Arabidopsis thaliana: one gene and its partners. The protein of the gene in region 1 interacts with the protein of each later gene in a pairwise test. Each region holds a gene or a part of one and is shown in the gene's direction. Other genes may lie near its edges. The genes, in order: AT5G42370, AT5G35460 and FAO3.

Evidence for each region.
Region 2: the proteins of AT5G42370 (region 1) and AT5G35460 interact in a protein complementation assay, tested with the Arabidopsis thaliana proteins (one large-scale study listed by BioGRID).
Region 3: the proteins of AT5G42370 (region 1) and FAO3 interact in a protein complementation assay, tested with the Arabidopsis thaliana proteins (one large-scale study listed by BioGRID).

What each region holds. Positions count from the first base shown.
Region 1 is NC_003076.8:16,938,112-16,944,450, reverse strand, and holds AT5G42370 (Calcineurin-like metallo-phosphoesterase superfamily protein), read left to right. Parts: upstream 1-2,716; 5' UTR 2,717-2,987; coding exon 2,988-3,104; intron 3,105-3,280; coding exon 3,281-3,691; intron 3,692-3,785; coding exon 3,786-3,926; intron 3,927-4,037; coding exon 4,038-4,145; intron 4,146-4,231; coding exon 4,232-4,537; intron 4,538-4,697; coding exon of another isoform or gene 4,698-4,756; coding exon 4,757-4,952; intron 4,953-5,039; coding exon 5,040-5,122; 3' UTR 5,123-5,470; downstream 5,471-6,339. Other genes in the region: CML37 (calmodulin like 37), read left to right, coding at 1,136-1,693.
Region 2 is NC_003076.8:13,669,495-13,675,833, forward strand, and holds AT5G35460 (uncharacterized protein), read left to right. Parts: upstream 1-2,994; 5' UTR 2,995-3,103; coding exon 3,104-3,184; intron 3,185-3,284; coding exon 3,285-3,404; intron 3,405-3,490; coding exon 3,491-3,548; intron 3,549-3,640; coding exon 3,641-3,741; intron 3,742-3,820; coding exon 3,821-3,916; intron 3,917-4,004; coding exon 4,005-4,098; intron 4,099-4,331; coding exon 4,332-4,569; intron 4,570-4,694; coding exon 4,695-5,052; 3' UTR 5,053-6,009; downstream 6,010-6,339. Other genes in the region: AT5G35450 (Disease resistance protein (CC-NBS-LRR class) family), read left to right, coding at 1-1,191. UniProt on the Arabidopsis thaliana protein: Glycerophosphocholine acyltransferase (GPCAT) that utilizes acyl-CoA to acylate glycero-3-phosphocholine (GPC), forming lysophosphatidylcholine (LPC).
Region 3 is NC_003074.8:8,379,039-8,385,377, forward strand, and holds the start of FAO3 (fatty alcohol oxidase 3), read left to right. Parts: upstream 1-3,633; 5' UTR 3,634-3,821; coding exon 3,822-4,031; intron 4,032-4,292; exon of another isoform or gene 4,293-4,372; coding exon of another isoform or gene 4,373-4,378; coding exon 4,379-4,651; intron 4,652-5,228; coding exon 5,229-6,339. UniProt on the Arabidopsis thaliana protein: Long-chain fatty alcohol oxidase involved in the omega-oxidation pathway of lipid degradation.

The sequences.
Region 1 (6,339 bases):
TCGTCAGATAATGTGTGTTTTGTGGTGATGTGCAATAGTGGTTACAAGATCGATTGTTTAGGATTTCAAGTGTTTGTCACTCTAAACTAGGCTTTCTATACTATTTTCACTTTGGCGATCATGAGTTTTTCATAGTAAGTTTATTTGTGAGATTTGATACCAACAATTTAAACTATTTGCTCAGAAAGTTTAATTAATGTGAATTAAGTAAGGTCACGATATGCCAGCACCGCATCATGGAAATTCATTTCATCAAGAATTGAAGATATAGATTAAAGTCTAACATTTTGTTGATATTAGGATCAAATTAAGTATTTATAAGGAGATTTTATGGGGGGAAACAGAGATGTTTTTGTTAAATAATCTTTGAGCTCGATAATTACGGGGAGAAGTTTCAAAGAATAACTGAATTGTTTGAACAATATATGCTGGGCCGAGTTAAACCGTCGAGCTTAGAAAGCCGAACTATACATCAGTAAAAGCTTTTACATGAAGTTGGCATTTGAGATGCAAAAAGATAAAAATAAAACTCTCTTTTGGTCCATATAGAAATATATTTTCTTATGGAAAGGGAATTCAGGACCGGGAATGTAACAGTTAGATGAAACTTCATCACATGAAATATTTTATTTTTAATTCAAGTTTCTAGGAACAGAGGAAGTCATACCACTTTCGTGGAGCATATCTGGACGGTTATATGAAACTTCATGACAGTTTAACAATTTAAAAGACCAAAACCACGTGTCCGCACATCGTATACTCAATCAAAGTCAAAGAGAAGGTTTGCTACTTTTCTTAATCTAGTCGTCGATATGACATCACATTTCACACAATACGTGAGAAAAACTTACCATCACATTATTACGAAAACACCCCTAGTCGTGGTCAACTTGACCTTTCCCCACAAACACTCATTGCGGAGGAAACTTCCCGGCCACCGCCGCGCAACCGCCTCTAGCTTTAAATAATAACACCAAAATATTCAAACCCGTGTTTTAACCGTCGAACAATCAAGAATCTCTCCACCATTACACGCATTCACATACTCATCTATATATAATCTACCACTTCTTGAAAAGAATTTGCATCAGAAATCCATTTCCCAAATCTTCTAGATTCATATTCAAATCAAGAAATGACTCTCGCTAAGAACCAAAAATCATCATTGTCACGACTATACAAGAAAGTTTCCTCGAAGAGATCAGAATCGTCAAGAAACCTTGAAGACGAATCAAGAACGAGCAGTAATAGTAGCGGAAGCAGCTCGTTAAACGTTAACGAGCTAAGAACCGTTTTTGACTATATGGATGCAAACTCAGACGGGAAAATCTCCGGTGAAGAGCTACAAAGCTGCGTTAGTCTCTTAGGCGGCGCGTTATCGTCACGTGAGGTGGAGGAAGTGGTGAAGACATCAGACGTTGACGGAGACGGGTTTATAGATTTTGAGGAGTTTTTGAAGCTTATGGAAGGGGAAGATGGTAGTGATGAAGAAAGGAGGAAGGAGTTGAAAGAAGCGTTTGGGATGTATGTTATGGAGGGGGAAGAGTTTATTACGGCGGCGAGTTTACGGAGGACGTTGAGTCGACTCGGCGAGTCGTGTACGGTTGATGCTTGTAAGGTTATGATTCGTGGGTTTGATCAGAATGACGATGGAGTTCTCAGCTTTGACGAGTTTGTTTTGATGATGCGTTGAGATGATATATATGGGATTGGGACATCTTCCTTCCCTCCTCAAAATTTTATTCATTCAATTATTATTTTTGTGAGAGATTCTTATTCCTTTGTATATTTGTGTCTCATCTAATCTATTTGTATTATTTAACACACTTCATAATAAACGTGTCTTGTTTTGATATTCTGAATTTGTCAAAACATACAAAATGTGTTTATATGTCTCCCCATAACTGAGAATACCCAATTAAGGGGACTAAAATCTAAAACTGCGAGTCGTAAAAGAGGCCAGTCATCACCACCATTTGCCGCTCGACCAATGTCACTAGGTGAGTGAGAAACAACCGATAACGCGCGTATATTCTCACATCACTCATTTTTTGGTAGAGGTCGGTAAAACATTTCATATCGTTTGACGTTTGTAAATCTACAGTTTTATTATGCTAGAACAATGATATTGATTCACATTATTGGATGTTTCTATAATTACAGTTACAAACAGATACATAATTATTGCACCAATTCACTTTTTCTATTCAATAAGAGATAATATTGTTTGTAAACCTTTTAACTAAAACGATCCGCTTCGAAACTTGTTTCTTAATGTCTAAAACAATATTACACTTCACAATTTTGCCATCCGTAGAAGTCTCTAGTGTAAAAAATTCTGAATTTGCATGGTTCCGGGGAAATTTTATACAATCTAGAAAATTGGAATAAAATTTTCATAAAATTATTTTTTTGGTCGGATAAAGTTTTCATAGAAGAACACATATTAAATGGATTTATCATCACATAGTAGTAGATAAACAATTTAAATTATGTAATACAAATCAAAATGAATTAATCTATTTGCCACATATAGTGAATTTGATTTCTATTCAAAGGGGAAAATACAAATTCATTTTTAATATGTAGTAGATATTTGTTTCTCAAGTAATTAATATTCATATTTAAAAAATCATTGCATATGTTAAACAAATCTACAAAAAAATTCAATGGTCATTCCATAATTATAAATAATACGGATATTTCACAAATTCACTTTTTGTTTGGAACCCAGAAAAAAGATTCATAAAACCAGGCAATAGAAATTTCATCTGAAGAAAAGAAAAAGTAAAGCTATTAAAAATCAAAGCCACGAGAAGAAAGTAGAAAAAGTTACAGTCTCTGTCTATCAAAATCCCAACGGTAACTGAAAATCGCCGGAACCGAATCTGCGGCGAGCCAAAACTTGTGGATCTTTTAATGAAAACTTGAAGATTCCTCTTTCCACGGTTGCTTCTAGGGTTTTCTCTTCGATTCACCACATCGTCATGAACCAAATCTCTTTCTGGTGCCTTTCTTTACTCCTTACGGTGGTGATTGCTGCAGAAGAGACTCCTATCACTCGTATAGCCTTCGGATCATGCGCTAATCAAAGTGCTCCACAGGTAAATCAATCGTACAACCCCTACTTGGCTCTGGATTCAGTGTTTTAAGACTGCTCTGTTTGGCTGGTGTTTAAGTGAGCTGATTATGGTTTTTGTTTAATTAGCCGATGTTCTCTTAGATGATATAAGCTTGTGTTGCATACTATGTTAAACATTGTATTTTTGTTACATTTTAGCCGATATGGGATGCGATAAACAAGTTTGATCCGCAACTGTTTATTTGGTTGGGTGATAACATCTACGGAGATATAAGAAGACCACTTACAGTCATTGGGAAAGAGAGAACTTTTGGGCCATGGAGGAATTCACCGAGGTTTGTACCTTCTTCAGAGGAAGAAATGAAACTAAGATACGCTAAAGCCAAAGCTAATCCTGGATATTCTCGTATTCAGAGAAAAGCTAAGGTTATTGGTACATGGGATGATCATGATTACGGATTGAATGACGCTGGAAAAGAGTTTGATCGTAAAGTCATTAACCAAAAACTTATGCTTGATTTCTTGAATGAGCCTCTTGATAGTCCTAGGAGAAAGCAAGCTGGTGTTTATGCTTCTTATACTTATGGTCCGCCTAATCGGAAAGTTAAGGTATTAACAGAAACTCTTGTCTTCTTTGGTAGTTTTGTTAAGTTTAGAATGAAGAGCTTATATGTGATTTAACACAGTTGTGTATCTCCTTCAGGTTATAGTTTTAGATACTAGATATCATAGAGACCCTTTAAGAAGTGACGGGAGCATATTGGGTGATACGCAGTGGGACTGGCTCGAAAATGAATTGAGCGGTCCCCGAAGCGAAATCACTATCATAGGATCCTCTGTTCAGGTATCTGCAAATTAGACTTTTGTGTCCTGTTCCAGTTTGGCCATGGACTTAAACTTGATGAAGCCTGAGTGTCTTATTCCATCTAGAACTGTTGTCTCTTAACTTGTCCAGGTGATATCAAATCTTTCTGCTACCACTGGACCTCTCTTTTATATGGAATCATGGGGTCGTTTTCCAAAGGAAAGGAAACGTCTTTTTAAACTGATAGCAGATACTAAGGTATGGGATTGTTGACAGTAATGTTTCCAACTGTCAGTTTTCTTCTTTCCTCGTCCCCATAATTCTTCGTTGCTTTGACATTACAGAGAGATGGAGTTATATTCATCAGTGGAGATGTACATTTTGGAGAAATCACGAGATATGATTGTTCTGTTGGGTACCCATTATATGATGTCACCTCCAGTGGTCTAGTACAATCTGTTGAGAAAGTTGTCCCTCGTCCCTTGCGTTCCATAGTTAGGCTTCTTTTTTGGTATACTCCAAGCACGATGAGAGTTATCAATGATAACTGCAAATTCAAATCTTGCACATACGGTATTATTCTCAATTTGATTCCTTTTACGTTTTCTTCTGATAAACTGTGGAAAGATTTATTGACAAGCCAAGACACAGTGAGTCTACTTTAAGTTCCAACTTTAGCTCTATAGCTCTACTGTCACTAACCTAGGACGGAATATAGTAGACTGTAACTGTTGTGAGTTGATTTAACAGAGCAGCGATGTACTCTTTTGTATGATTACATTGGTTACAATATCTTAAACTTACGTGCAGGACAACAAAATTTTGGAGCAATATCGATAGATTGGAATGCAAATCCGGTTACCATAAAGCTCGAGATCAGAGATGTTAACGGAGACACTGTACTAGGCACGAATGTTTCATTATCTGAACTCCAACCAGGAGGCTCGAATTCTTTAAAAGATACAACAACTAAGGGAAAGTCTCAACGATATTGCACACTCGAAATTGAATTACCAGGAACGACCAGATACCGATTGGCAGTTCTCATCTACTTCACCATTGCTGGTATGTCATTCTTCCTCACTGTGGTTGGTCATGATGAAAGAATGTTGCGGAGTACTGATATATACGTTGTTTGATTGGGTTCGACAGTCTTGGCAATGGCGATATTAGGACTTATCATTGGAGCTGTATTGGCCATAACAGCATGCGTTTATAAATGCAAGGTCGATTGATTGTTGATGACATTAATCAACTTTTTTTGGTCCAACAAAAGTGTCTTTATGACTTATAATCTGTATTAGTTGGATTATTCAGGGATTACAATTCGGATGTAGCTTATAATGTTAAAAATTGTTGAACACATGGATTTTGATCTTGTGATGGGAATTCTAAGCTTGAGCTGTTATTAATTAAACTTCTTTGAAAGAGAATGTTTGTGAACACAAGTTAAATTCTAGACTACATGCAATAGCATTATAGTTTCCAGTTTCTTTTTTCTTTTATTATTGTAAACCAAGGTTTATCGTTTATTACATATGAAGGTTTTCACTGTCTATTTGTAATAAATTAAACAAATTAAAGTTTTTATAATTTCAGTAATGATCTCAAAACGGATACTAGCTTTGATTGGTGAACAAAAACAAAGTATATTGGCTTTGATTGGTGAACAAAAACAAAGTATTACAATTTGTACCGCTTTTATTTCTGTTAATTACAAAAGCTTTTTTAAAGCGTTACAAAAAGTTTTACTCTCAGCTTTATTACTATATAGCTTTCTCGTACAACTATTTTTTTACAACTTTGCAGTATTCCGAAAAAGTTTTTATCACCGTTAACAGTTAAGATTTGAACAGCTGTATGTTACCGATAGGATCCACTATACTTCCCAAATCTGATGTTAATTAGTAATATGAGGTTAATTTTTTACTATTTTATTGAAAAAGCGATATTCTTGCAATTGACCCATAATTGAGTCAGCTTAATTTCCATTTATTTTTTTTTTGTTTTTTATTTATTTTTTTAGCTTCCGCTTTCTGCAGTATGATCTATTTAAAATAAAATAAAAAAGGGAAAAGTGGGAAATCGATGCGTCAATCTTAGGTCTCCGAGGTCTCAATTATTTCATCTTCTTCGGTGATTTCTGGGGAAGATGCTCTGGATTTGGGAAAGCAACTCTGTCGATGGATGAATCTCTTTTCGAAACTTCTGGGTGATATGCTCAATGTGAGTGAAATTGTTCTTCGAATTTGTTGAATTTCGTCCATTGTGTGAAATTGCAGACGCGTCTTGTAGTTTGATTGTGAAACTTAATTTTGTAGGCTTCTTTGAGTTACTTCGTTGGAATTTTGGAGTTAGGCTTTTTACATGTTTAATCTTTAATCGAGTGGTTGGTAGAATAAGCGGATCTCACTATAATGCTTTTTGATCATCGCAAGCCTCATGAGATTGT
Region 2 (6,339 bases), 3.3 Mb from region 1:
ATTATCAAAGTCCCTACTTCCACCTCTACCATCATTGCTCAATCTCCTAGTAGATCTCGAAGACTCACCGTACATAGTGGTAAAGCCTTTCATATACTAGGACACAAAAAAAAGGTCAGATCTCTTTTAGTTTTGGGACTCAAGGAAGATCTTTGGATACAATCAGCTTCACGCTTCCAAAGCTTACCATTGCTCAGGGTGTTGGATCTGTCTTCGGTAAAATTTGAAGGAGGGAAGTTACCTTCTAGCATTGGAGGGCTCATCCATTTGAGATTCTTGAGCTTACACCAAGCTGTGGTATCTCATCTACCTTCTACTATTCGGAATTTAAAGCTTATGCTCTATTTGAACTTACATGTTGCTATCGGGGTGCCGGTTCACGTGCCAAATGTTTTGAAAGAGATGCTAGAGTTGAGGTACCTTTCCCTACCTCTGGATATGCATGATAAAACCAAGTTGGAATTGGGTGATCTAGTGAACCTGGAGTACTTGTGGTGTTTCTCAACGCAACACAGTAGTGTGACAGACCTCCTCCGTATGACCAAGCTCAGGTTTTTCGGTGTATCTTTTAGTGAAAGGTGTACTTTTGAAAATCTATCTTCATCTCTCCGTCAATTTCGAAAGCTGGAGACACTTAGTTTCATTTATTCGCGCAAAACCTATATGGTTGATTATGTGGGAGAATTCGTTCTGGATTTTATTCATCTAAAGAAGTTAAGTTTGGGAGTACATTTGTCAAAGATTCCTGATCAACATCAATTACCTCCCCACATTGCACACATATATTTATTGTTTTGCCACATGGAGGAGGATCCAATGCCAATTCTAGAAAAGTTGCTTCATCTGAAGTCGGTTGAATTAAGACGCAAGGCTTTCATAGGGAGGAGAATGGTGTGCTCAAAAGGCGGGTTTCCTCAATTACGTGCTCTACAAATATCTGAACAATCGGAGTTGGAAGAGTGGATAGTAGAAGAAGGGTCGATGCCATGTCTTCGTGATTTAATTATACATAGTTGCGAAAAGTTGGAGGAACTTCCTGACGGACTCAAGTATGTAACATCCTTAAAGGAACTGAAGATTGAAGGAATGAAGAGGGAGTGGAAGGAGAAATTGGTTGGAGAAGATTACTACAAAGTCCAACACATTCCCGATGTTCAATTTTTCAACTGTGACGACGAACAAAGAGAATAACCAGTAGCAGGTAAAAAATAAACGGTATAATAATGTTCACTTTTCAAAGTCATGTGGACAGTCTCAACTTTTATACATTGTTCTAAAATCGATCATCTTTTAAATAGATGCAGGAAAGAACAAGAAGCTAGTCAAATTCTCTTATATTGGGAGAGATAGAGGCTGCTTCACAAGAGTCATCTACTGATAAATCTCTGGAATACAGATTCTGAAGTACTACTGATTACGTTGGAGCTCTCGCTTTCAGTGCATCGTTATGTTGTGGCTCAGAACTATATGCTTTTTATTGATGTTTGTTTTCGGTGTGGATGCATGGAACGTGCTTGAGAACTCTTTCATAAAATTGAGAAACGAACCTTGTTTTTTTTGTAGTTCATTGTAAAAATTGGATATTTATGTTTATACGAATTTGTTTTGTTTTCTCGTTTGTGATTTAACACAGTTAGCTAGCTTTTGTAAGCTTTATTTACATCAAATCTGGTTAGATTTGTTTTTTATCACATTTAGGCTTAAGTTTTGTTAGTTTTGCACCTCTTTTACTGTGTACGCATAGTGAAGTCATGGTTGAACCAAGACGAGCAAAACTGATGTACAATAAACAAAACAATCTCATTTTGTACAAGTTTTTTGTTTCATTTTAATTTCTTTTATCAGTACTGTGTGATATTTGCACTCGTGACTTAGACTTGGGTCGTTGAGGGATTAGTCGATTTCTTGTTCAGGAACAACATAAGATTGTCAGAACAAAACACCAGTTTTTGTACTTTTGTTTTTAAATCTTGTTTCAACTTCAGACAGACCCCCTTATTCTATGGCTTTAGTATATTTGTTTACTTTTGAACAATGTTCAAAAAAGTGTTAGGCGATAAACGGGCGATGACCCAACGCCTAGCGTTTAGAACGCTTAGTCGGGGTTTAAGTGATTTTAGGTGGTTTATCCGTTTATGACATAAAACATTTTAAATATGATATTATAGATAAAAATCATATAAAACTATATATTAGAAAATATTAATCGGATCCTAATCAAAAATTAGATAAAAATGTTTCTTTAATTTATATCAACAATATATGAATGTTTATAACCATGTGTAGAAGTAAAACTTATAAAATTTAAGCAATATTAGTTAAAAATAAAAAAAATATACTAAAACGAAATTTATGTTATTTTAGGCAGTCGAGATGATTATTTAGGCGTCAACTGAACGCTTAGCGGCATATAAACGACCGTCTAGACCGCTTTTTACAACACTGCTTTTGAATCTTTCAAACTTCATCCAAAAACAAAACTAAAGCTTCTGGAACATGTGAAACCTTGTCAAGAAACTCTAGTTTTGAACTCATAAAACCTAGTTAAGAAGTTTTTTTTTTTTGTCGGCACCTAGTAAAGAAGTTATACCACAGCATTCTTTTTTTACTTTTTTTCTTTAATACAAGATGCAATTAAACAAAATGTTCCTCTAACTATAATAATGTAGAAAAATACGTGTACGCTAGGAAATTTCTCGACCCGCGCAAAAGAGGGTCCTAGAAGTTTCAACTTTCGACACGTGGCTCCTTCTCAGTCTCTCTTATTAAAGTCTTTAAATTATATAATCACCAAAGGCAATTAATGGAATTAATTTACTTTGAGGACTAATATTCCATCTGATTTCCCAAGATAAAACATAAAGTCCTTATTACTTAATTATGAATGTAATTATTGGATTACATGTAATTAATCACCACTTTATAAAACTGAACAAAAATAGTAACGAATATAAAGAGTTTAATAATGATTTTTGGGTCATTTTCCTTCACCAAATTTTTAATTCCGCATAAAGTAAAATATCCTGAAAACAGAAAAATTCAGTGTTTTCGGATTCTCCTTTAAAAACGACAAAAGCATCTACAGAGAAATCTGACCGCAATAATGGCGAATAACGAAGATTCAAACTCCAATGGACTAGACTCGTTTGATGCTGTTAAACAACGTTTCAAAGATCGATCAAAGGTACAACATCAGATTCGATTTTCACCATTTTTGATGTTTCTCTTTTGTTCCAATTTTGTTGATTTTGACTTTGTGGACCAATTGTTTTTGATTTTGACAGAAAGTTGTTCAGACGAGAGAGTTGTTGTCTAAACAAGCGGTACAAACGCGTGAGATCTTATCGAAACAAGCCGTTAAGATCGCTAAACAAGCCGAAGAACATGAGAGATTCATCAATAAGGTTAGGTTTCTCTCTTGATTCTTCAATCATGTTTTGATTTTAAGTTACTTTGGTTTGAAAATGTTTGGTTCTGTAATGTTTTAAAGGTGACACATCTCGTTGGTGTGCTTGGATTTGGAGGTTTTTGTTTCCTACTTGGTGCAAGTGAGTTCAAAGAAATTGTGTTTTTTTTTTGTTTTTTTTGTGTTTTGTTCTTAATTCAATGTTGTTGATGTTGATGATGTTTTCGTTTTCAGGACCTCAAGACATTCCTTTAGTTTACTGTTTCTTCTATGTGATCTTTGTTCCTCTTCGATGGATATATTACCGGTTTAAGAAATGGCATTATTATCTTCTGGTAATGTCTCTTTTGAGGATTTGGAATTAAGAAACAGTCGTTTTGATTGTTATTGAAACAATTTTTGTGTATGTGATAGGACTTTTGCTACTATGCCAATACAATCTTCTTGGTTGATCTTCTTCTGTATCCTAAGAATGAAAAGCTTTTCATGGTTTGCTTTTCCTTTGCTGAGGTATGCTTTTTAACTACATGTATGTATATGAGTCTTTTGTGTCATTGTGTGTGCTGATTTATTTTATTGGTTGTGTCTTGTGCTGCAGGGACCATTGGCGTGGGCGATTATTGTCTGGCGTTGCAGTCTGGTTTTTAGTTCGCCGGATAAGATTGTTAGTGTTCTTATACATCTCTTACCTGGTGAGTTCTATAATCTTCTTGTTGACAGAAGAAGATATGTTATTGATTCATATTGCTAAAGTTGACGGCTTTGATTAAAGTAGTTGTATGAATTCTTAGCTTGTTGTTCCCCTCTCAACCGTTTTTAATTCAAACACATGGTTCCTTGTTGTAATGCATATGATAGATATAGTTAAGCTTTATGCTCTCTCTCTCCATTGTTTCTTTATTATTGTAATGAATTTTGGTTTCAGGGCTCGTGTTTTTCACGATTAGGTGGTGGAATCCAGCGACTTTTGCAGCTATGCACCCTGTAGGCACTGATCGTAGGGTTTCATGGCCTTATGTTGAAGACAAAGCTTACCTATTCACATGGCTGTTTCTCGTCCCCTTAGTCGTTTATACTCTTTGGCAAGTGCTCTATTTTCTAATCGTCAATGTCCTGCGTAGGCAGAGACTCCTTAGAGATCCTGAAGTTATGACTTCTTACAGGTATCTCTTGTCTACGCCGTATGTTAATGTTCTCCTCATATTGATCGCTAAGGTCACAGCATAATGTAATGTGTTCTTACCATAGAGTGAACACTTGTATTGATGGAATCCTTTGGTATGTGCAGAGAGCTGTCGAAGAAAGCTGAAAAGGCAAACAATAAGTTGTGGCAGCTGAGCGGTCTGCTAGGGGATCAGAATCGTATATGGATGTACATCCTATTCCAGGCCATCTTCACGGTGGCAACCATGGCATTGACCGTACCGATCTTCCTATCTTATAGACTTCATGTGATCTTTCAGATCCTAAAGATTTCTGCGGCTGTGTGGAACGGAGGGAGCTTTTTACTAGAGGTAATGCCACGGCAAGTGATCCAGAAAGAGAAGAAGAAGAAAGCTGAGATGCAGCCGATAGAGGAGCAGATACTACATCATGAAGCTGTGTCACATCCGACTGAGAATGAGCCAAAATCTACTGAAACATGATCATGGTTCTAACAAAAAGGTACATGTAAAATAAAGTTTTCAAAGGTGAATCATGATTGGTGTTTTTTTTGTTCCTCATGTTTTGTTCTATAACTGTTTGTTTCTCTTGTTGCTATACATCATTCTAAAAGCTTAATGTATGTGAATGATCTTGTAGTTTATTTTTTCTAAAGAAACTTGTTATTTACTCTTTAGCCAAAGTTTTGATCCTGTTTCGCTAGGACATTCTGGCCTTAAAATTGCATTATGAGAGATTTAACTATATTTTTAACGCGTTTTCGAGAAAGGAAAATCTTCGGATTTCAGCGAAGTAGATTGGGATAAGTTCTCCTTGAGACGCGGATTTTGTTTTCTGTTTCTGCTGTACAAAACAACCATCACTAAAGATCATAACATTCATGTGTTTGATAGTGCATAGTTCTCGAACATGTCGTTACCAGCCGCGGAATAAGCTTAATAAGTATGCCGATAGCATTATGAAATCCATCATGTCCGATACGACTATTGTTCAGTGGAGATGAAGCTTAATAACTTGAGTTCCGCCAAAGAATTCACTCAAAAATCGACCATGAAGAGGATTTTGATCGATGCAAATCGCCCCTGTAACGAGCTGATTTGGAAGAAGACTCAAGAACCACCAATTTGCACCGTACGGTCAAATTGAGTCAAACCAAACCGAAGAGCCCCCTGATGTACTTGAAGACTTTCTGCTGATTATATTCACCCTCATGAAAAGACTACACGACGTTTAGAAGCTGCGACTTTAACTTAGCTCTCGACGCCATCACCGAAGATCCTCCATTATAGCCTAACGGCTAGAATCATCACGCTCCTCTCTTTATTTCGCATTATTCGGTTTCCTTTTCTAAGTTTTAGACCATTGTTGTACTTTTCAATTTAAGCTCTTTGATTCTCTACTTTGTATTCACGCTTTGATCAATTGAAATTCAGTTTGTTTCTTGCTTCAATACTTTGTATCTTGAATCAAATCTGTTCTTGCGAGTTCTAGGTTGTTTGTAGAATCAAATACTTCTCATCTAAAAGCTTCCATCGCTCGCTTCTAAGCATTGGACCCGTGAGCCTTGTCTTGGTGGAATCCAGGACGTGTAGTCGTGTATCACATGAAATGAATGGAATAAGATTTTGATTATATAATCTACAAAGTAGGTCGCATTAAGATACATGCCAAATACCGCACTGAACAGAGAAAGAAAACAGAAAATCAATGTAAATATTGTTGGTGTGTCCTTGACTACAATGTTTTTTGAAAAATTATCTTGATCATGT
Region 3 (6,339 bases), on another chromosome or scaffold:
TGGAACTGCAAAATTGTGTGGCTAGAACTGCAATTTATGATAAGCTTTTAGCAGTTTGGTTCGAAATATATGTTTGGTGAACAAAAGATATTTACAGTATGAGAATAGTAGCTGATATTAAAGTTAAGAAGAGAACTTGGTACTGGAGCTATAATGGTCAAGCTAAGACGATGTAGATATAATTACAATTTGGAAGAAGAACAAGTTGAAATATAAGAATATAGAATTGCGAATTGCGAATAATGAAAAGATAACTACTGCAAGAGATTAAGAACAGATTATGGATAACCACTTGTGTTTATATTAGGCTTGCATTAAAAGCTTTGATATGCTTAGTTGACGTTTTTGTGCTTAGTTCTGCCGTTTTCTGTTTGTGTCCATGAATCCACGTGTTAAACCATCTGCTGTACAAGGTTTTTTAGTCTTTCAATTTCCCAATTTGTGTTATTTGCAACATGTAAATGCTAATGACAAGCTACATGTTAATGCTGGAAAAGAAAAGTAGACGTTAGTTCGAATGGATCTAGATGATTCTATACGTACTATTCGATATTCGATCTTCTATTTTTTTCACTATACTCGAAGACATTGGTGCAAATTAAATATTCTAACTAGATGTTGGTTGTTAATTTTTCTAATTATTTAGTATTTGTTGCAGTGTCCCACGATTACATGAAGTTATATAGTAATTTAATAATAAATATGATAATAAAGATATTGAAAACCCCTAGTTTATCACTTTATTGGTTAACCAAAAATTCATTAATGATTATACATAAAGAGGTCTTTGGTTCGAGTCTCAGATACTACAATTTATTATCAGATTTGCAGATTTATGGAGACAAGTGTATAAGAAATCTTCAACGATATATAATTATAGCCATCATTGAAATTCTCCATCAAAAGCATAAAAAAAACGAAAGAAATGCCGTCTCTCGTGAATCTAATAAAGGCGAAATGAACTTTTTGTAGCAAAATTGTTTATATAACAAAAACATGATAATAAAGATAACTTACGCATAAAATATCGGTAGTTTTTAGTATCCGCGTATAGTTTACTTAACTAAAGGAAATATGGTATTATGACTTTTTAACACAAGATTTTAACTGGGCAGAAAGTAACATGAACGGAAAAGGTCTACAAAGTGGGGTTATCTTGAAAATGCCGTATATAACCTGTTATCGCTATTTTACTTTACATTATCGCTTAATTAATTAATGACAACTTGTGACATCTTTAATTGCGTCCAACAACATTTTTTTTGACTTTTAAACAATAAGCTATAATGACATTTTATTTTTAGAAGCTATACTTACACAGTGACACATAATAATTCAACTAAACAACCCACTGTACCCGATTGAATATTTTACAAGCCATGAAGGTTTTAAGAAGATTTTGTTGCTGATGCCTCGGCTAGCTTGAAAATGTTTTATGGATTTTACGCAAACACGTCATTTTGACAGTGTTTTAGAGATTTGTTTTTGTCTACAACTAATATATAATTAAGCTTTGGAGCCATTGAAAATATTTGGTCGATAAATAATAATCACAAAGTGTACCTCAATCATAGAAATGGAATGCTATGGTCCATATAACTTGAAATATTGTAGTCATAAAATTACGATATCACCTAACGGAAAATAGTCTTAACATTTGAACATAACATGTGTTCAGAGAAGTTATAAATAAGTGTTCAGAGAAGTGATTTTTTATTTCTAAGTTATAAATAAGTGTGAAAAAGTAACTTATGACTAAAAAATATTTTGTGAACTTTTTAATATTATTATTTTTGCAAAACAACGCACTATATATGTACCTCGTACACTCTAATTAGCTCATCCACCACGGTAAAATTTATTTATTATTTTGCATTTTTTATTTGGTTAAGCTGAAACATATCATTATCACCAAGCAATTATATATGTACCGATAACCCATGCTGAGGAAATTTTCTAACCAAACCTTTGGGATCAGAATATATATTAGTAAATAATCATACTTTAACTTAGATTACACTAAAAACTAGTTATCGTTTTAGAGTTTTTTTTGTCTGACGAGATCTCGGATGCTTCGATTACACCTGACTTGTTAGATGGGATGCATGACCACATTTTGGCTAACATGGCGTGCAAACGATGACGTGGAGGCAACTGATTGGCTCCACTGATTCCCACAAATTTGTTGCAAAATCAAAAGTAGGGCCAGACTAATTATATTATTTTTTTGTGGATGTCTATAATATGAAATTTGAATCAATACGTAATTTATCGATTCTTTGTCTAATCGATGTCAACTAAATTTAACAAATTATCTGGAAGTCACTCAACATTTTCCTTGATAATGCTAGTTTCTTCGAATCTTAAATGAGGCAACGCATTGTCCATTGAAATTTTAAGCATATAGTGTATATATGTATTTATTTTTCTAGCAAATTCAAAACGGCCTGGGATCGTTTGGTTTGTAATCAATATATGGGTTTTTTTTGGTCAACAATCAATAATTAGTATTTTTGAGAATTCATGAAATACTGGATGAGTAAATGAGATAATTTTTATGGATGATCACTAGCACATGGTTGCTAACCAGTGAAGCACCTAAAAAATCACTGCAAAAAAGTTTGTAATCAATTTCGTTGCAGCTAAGCAACATTTATGACTAATTTGAGTAAATATTAATTGACGATCCCATGAATTTCACCTAATTGACGAGTCCCTAGATTTGTTTTAGAGTAAATTTTACAACTTCATATACTTTACATTATAATTAACAAACTAAAAAACTCGTAAACCAAATAAGACTTTGTCTAATGGTCCAAGCATGACCTCTCCAAAGATATAATATGTTTTGATATATACGTGATAACCGATCAGATGTTGTATATACATATTAATGTGTATTAATTTCTTCATATAATATTTACAAATTTTTGTGAGAAGATATCAAGTACACGTATATCGAATAAGAAAAGCTAGATTGTGTAAAACGTTACGGGGCTTGTGCATTAACTCACAAGTTGGCTATCACAAGTTTCAAATTGTGGTGTTTAGAGCATCGCAGTTGTCAAACAAAAAAAAAAAAAAAAAAAGAAAGAGTATCACACGTGATTGTTTTCCATAACTATGAGAACTTTTCTGACTATTTTCTTCTTTTGTGCCTTTGTTATGTTTCTTCAATCATTACTTAATTATTAATTACTAATCGATTTTCGTTGCCTGTAGTTTTCACATGTTGTAATCTAGAAAACTGAAAAAGACTTTCCCCATAATAGTCTCTGCTAACTACATACTAGTCCCTATATTTTGCAATTTTAAGTGTTTTTAACCACTATCTTAGAGACTCTAAACATGAGGACCCTAAAAAATAACCATCATCTTAAATTGTACGTAAGAAATATATTCAATCTACATCAGATGATACCAATAAAATTCGGCATATAAGTAGAATTTGAAAGAAACAACAACGTGGGTAGATATGCACCATTTACAACAACAAAAAAGAAAAATCAATTTTGGTCCAACTTTTTCATATACATTTAAATTGTCAATTATCATCATAATTAGTAATACGACAAACTGTCGTATAAACTAGAAAAATACATACATCTACTATCTAAAACGACAGATAAAAATACGTAATCATCAAAAAGAGTTAAAAACAAGTTTTGGGGTTCTCTTAGCAATTTTGTTTTATATGTCTATTTTTATGTAACGCGACAGCTGTAACGTTGTGTCTATATATATACTAACAGAGTTTGTGCTTCGAAATCTTAAGAACTTTCCCAGTTTTGTTTTTTAATCATATCAAAGCAAACTGTGTGATGGATAAGTACAAAGTCGCCGGAAAATTTGGTCTCCCGGACATCACGGTGGCAGAGATGGAATCTTTAGCTAGCTTTTGTGAAGCTGTCTTGCCTTCAGTGCAGCCACCGCCGGAAGAGCTTTCCGGTGAAGGTGATAACCATCGGAACAAAGAGGCTCTCCGGTCATTTTACTCAACTTCTGGGTCTAAAACTCCTGTCCTTCGCCAGGTTCACACACTTTTTCTTTATATTCATCAAATGATCTGTTTTTTTAACAAAATGCTAAAGTTTTGACACTTTCAAACAAAAAAACACAAATCAAGAACGTGTGATATTTGAAGATTTGTTTTGATTTGTTCGATTAGTTAAAAGGATTCGTATTGATCGAGTTCCAATAAAATCCTTGTGGTTCTCTTTTGACTTCTATAGACCTTTTAAATGACAAAAATATCTAGCTCTTTTTGTTTTTTTAACGTGAATATTATTAGTCTAGGTTTCGGTCTAAAATTAATTGCGGTTATTAAAAAGACCTTAAGGTTTTGAGTAAAAAGTGAAAGATTTGTTAATGGATGCAGAGCATTGAGCTGGTCACGAAACGAGGGACAATAGAAGCTTATATTGCTACTAGGCTTATATTGTTCTTGCTTGCTACTCGGCTTGGGACGCTTCTCATTTGTGGAACCGAGTGTTTGGTCTCAAGATGGCCTTTTGTCGAGAAATTTAGTGAGCTCTCGTTGGAGAAGAGAGAAAGAGTACTTCAGAAACAATTCAAGAATTGGATTCTGACTCCAATTAGAGCTGCTTTTGTCTACATCAAAGTTGCATTCCTCTTCTGTTTCTTCTCCCGGGTATGTCTCAAATTCTCTCTGTTTTCTCCAAACCTTATCTCAACCACATAGATTATGTTGTTCTGTCCGGATAAAACAGTCTAGTACAAATCCAAATAATCGAAAACAGAATCGCATGGTTTAAATTCATTTACTTTCTATATAATCCAAAAATTGATTACAAATAGAGCCAAAAAAAACTAGAAAACGTATCAGTTTTATTGTTTTCTAAATTAATGATGATCTCTAAGGAAAAAATCATCCAAATTCATATATACTAAAATTAGAAAATCTTAAACCTGAAACCGTACGTAACGTATTCATATGAGATTTGTTTATAACTAAAATTTACTATTTTACTATACATAAACAATTTGATCCCATTATTAAAAACTTTGATCTTAAATGAGTACCAAGCGATTTAACTAGATCATTTTCTGATTTGGTTACAATAAACCGATCCAAAATTTTGAGAATCGTGAACTAAACCAAAATCCGGATTCAGAGCCTATATTATATATGTTAACTCTGTCGTAAAAACAGAGCTACTTATAGAAAATGTTCAAGAATTTATGGATATGTCGTTTCTTTTGTGTAGGTGAATCCAAATGGCGAAAACCCGGCATGGGAAGCCATAGGGTATCGTGTTAACCCCGATGAGAACAAACCTTCTGAAACTCATAACGAAAGACCACTTGAGAAAGGGATAGTGGAGACGATGGAAGAAACAGAGCAGACTCTTCTTGAATCACTTGCTCATAAAGGCCTAGAAGCGGTTCTTGACACGGAGCATGATGCGATCAGAATAAAATGTGATGTTGTGGTCGTCGGGTCTGGTTCAGGAGGAGGCGTAGCAGCTTCTGTTCTAGCGAAATCTGGTTTAAAAGTGGTTGTTCTTGAAAAAGGAAGCTACTTTACGCCTTCTGAACATCGTCCTTTCGAAGGTCCTGGCTTGGATAAACTCTACGAGAATGGAGGGATTCTCCCGAGTGTTGATGGGAGTTTTATGGTGTTGGCTGGAGCAACTGTAGGTGGTGGATCTGCTGTGAACTGGTCTGCGTGTATCAAAACCCCGAAGTCGGTTCTTCAAGAATGGTCAGAGGATCAAAATATACCTCTTTTCGGTACTAAAGAATATCTAACGGCTATGGAAGTTGTGTGGAAGAGGATGGGTGTCACGGAGAAATGTGAACTGGAGAGTTTTCAGAATCAGATTCTGAGAAAAGGTTGCGAAAATCTCGGGTTCAATGTTGAAAACGTGCCAAGAAACTCCTCGGAGAGTCATTACTGTGGATCTTGCGGGTATGGATGTAGACAAGGAGACAAGAAAGGAAGTGACCGGACTTGGCTTGTCGATGCGGTGGGGCACGGTGCCGTGATTCTTACTGGATGTAAAGCGGAGAGATTCATACTCGAAAAGAACGGTAGTAACAAAGGAGGCAAGCAAATGAAATGTTTGGGAGTGATGGCTAAATCTTTAAACGGAAACATAGCAAAGATGTTAAAGATTGAAGCTAAAGTAACGGTTTCAGCAGGGGGTGCTCTTTTAACACCTCCGTTGATGATATCTAGCGGGTTGAGAAACCGAAACATCGGTAAAAACCTTCACTTACACCCTGTTTTAATGGCGTGGGGTTACTTCCCGGACAAGGAATCTTCTAACATCAGTTTCAAGGGAAATTCATATGAAGGCGGGATCATAACATCAG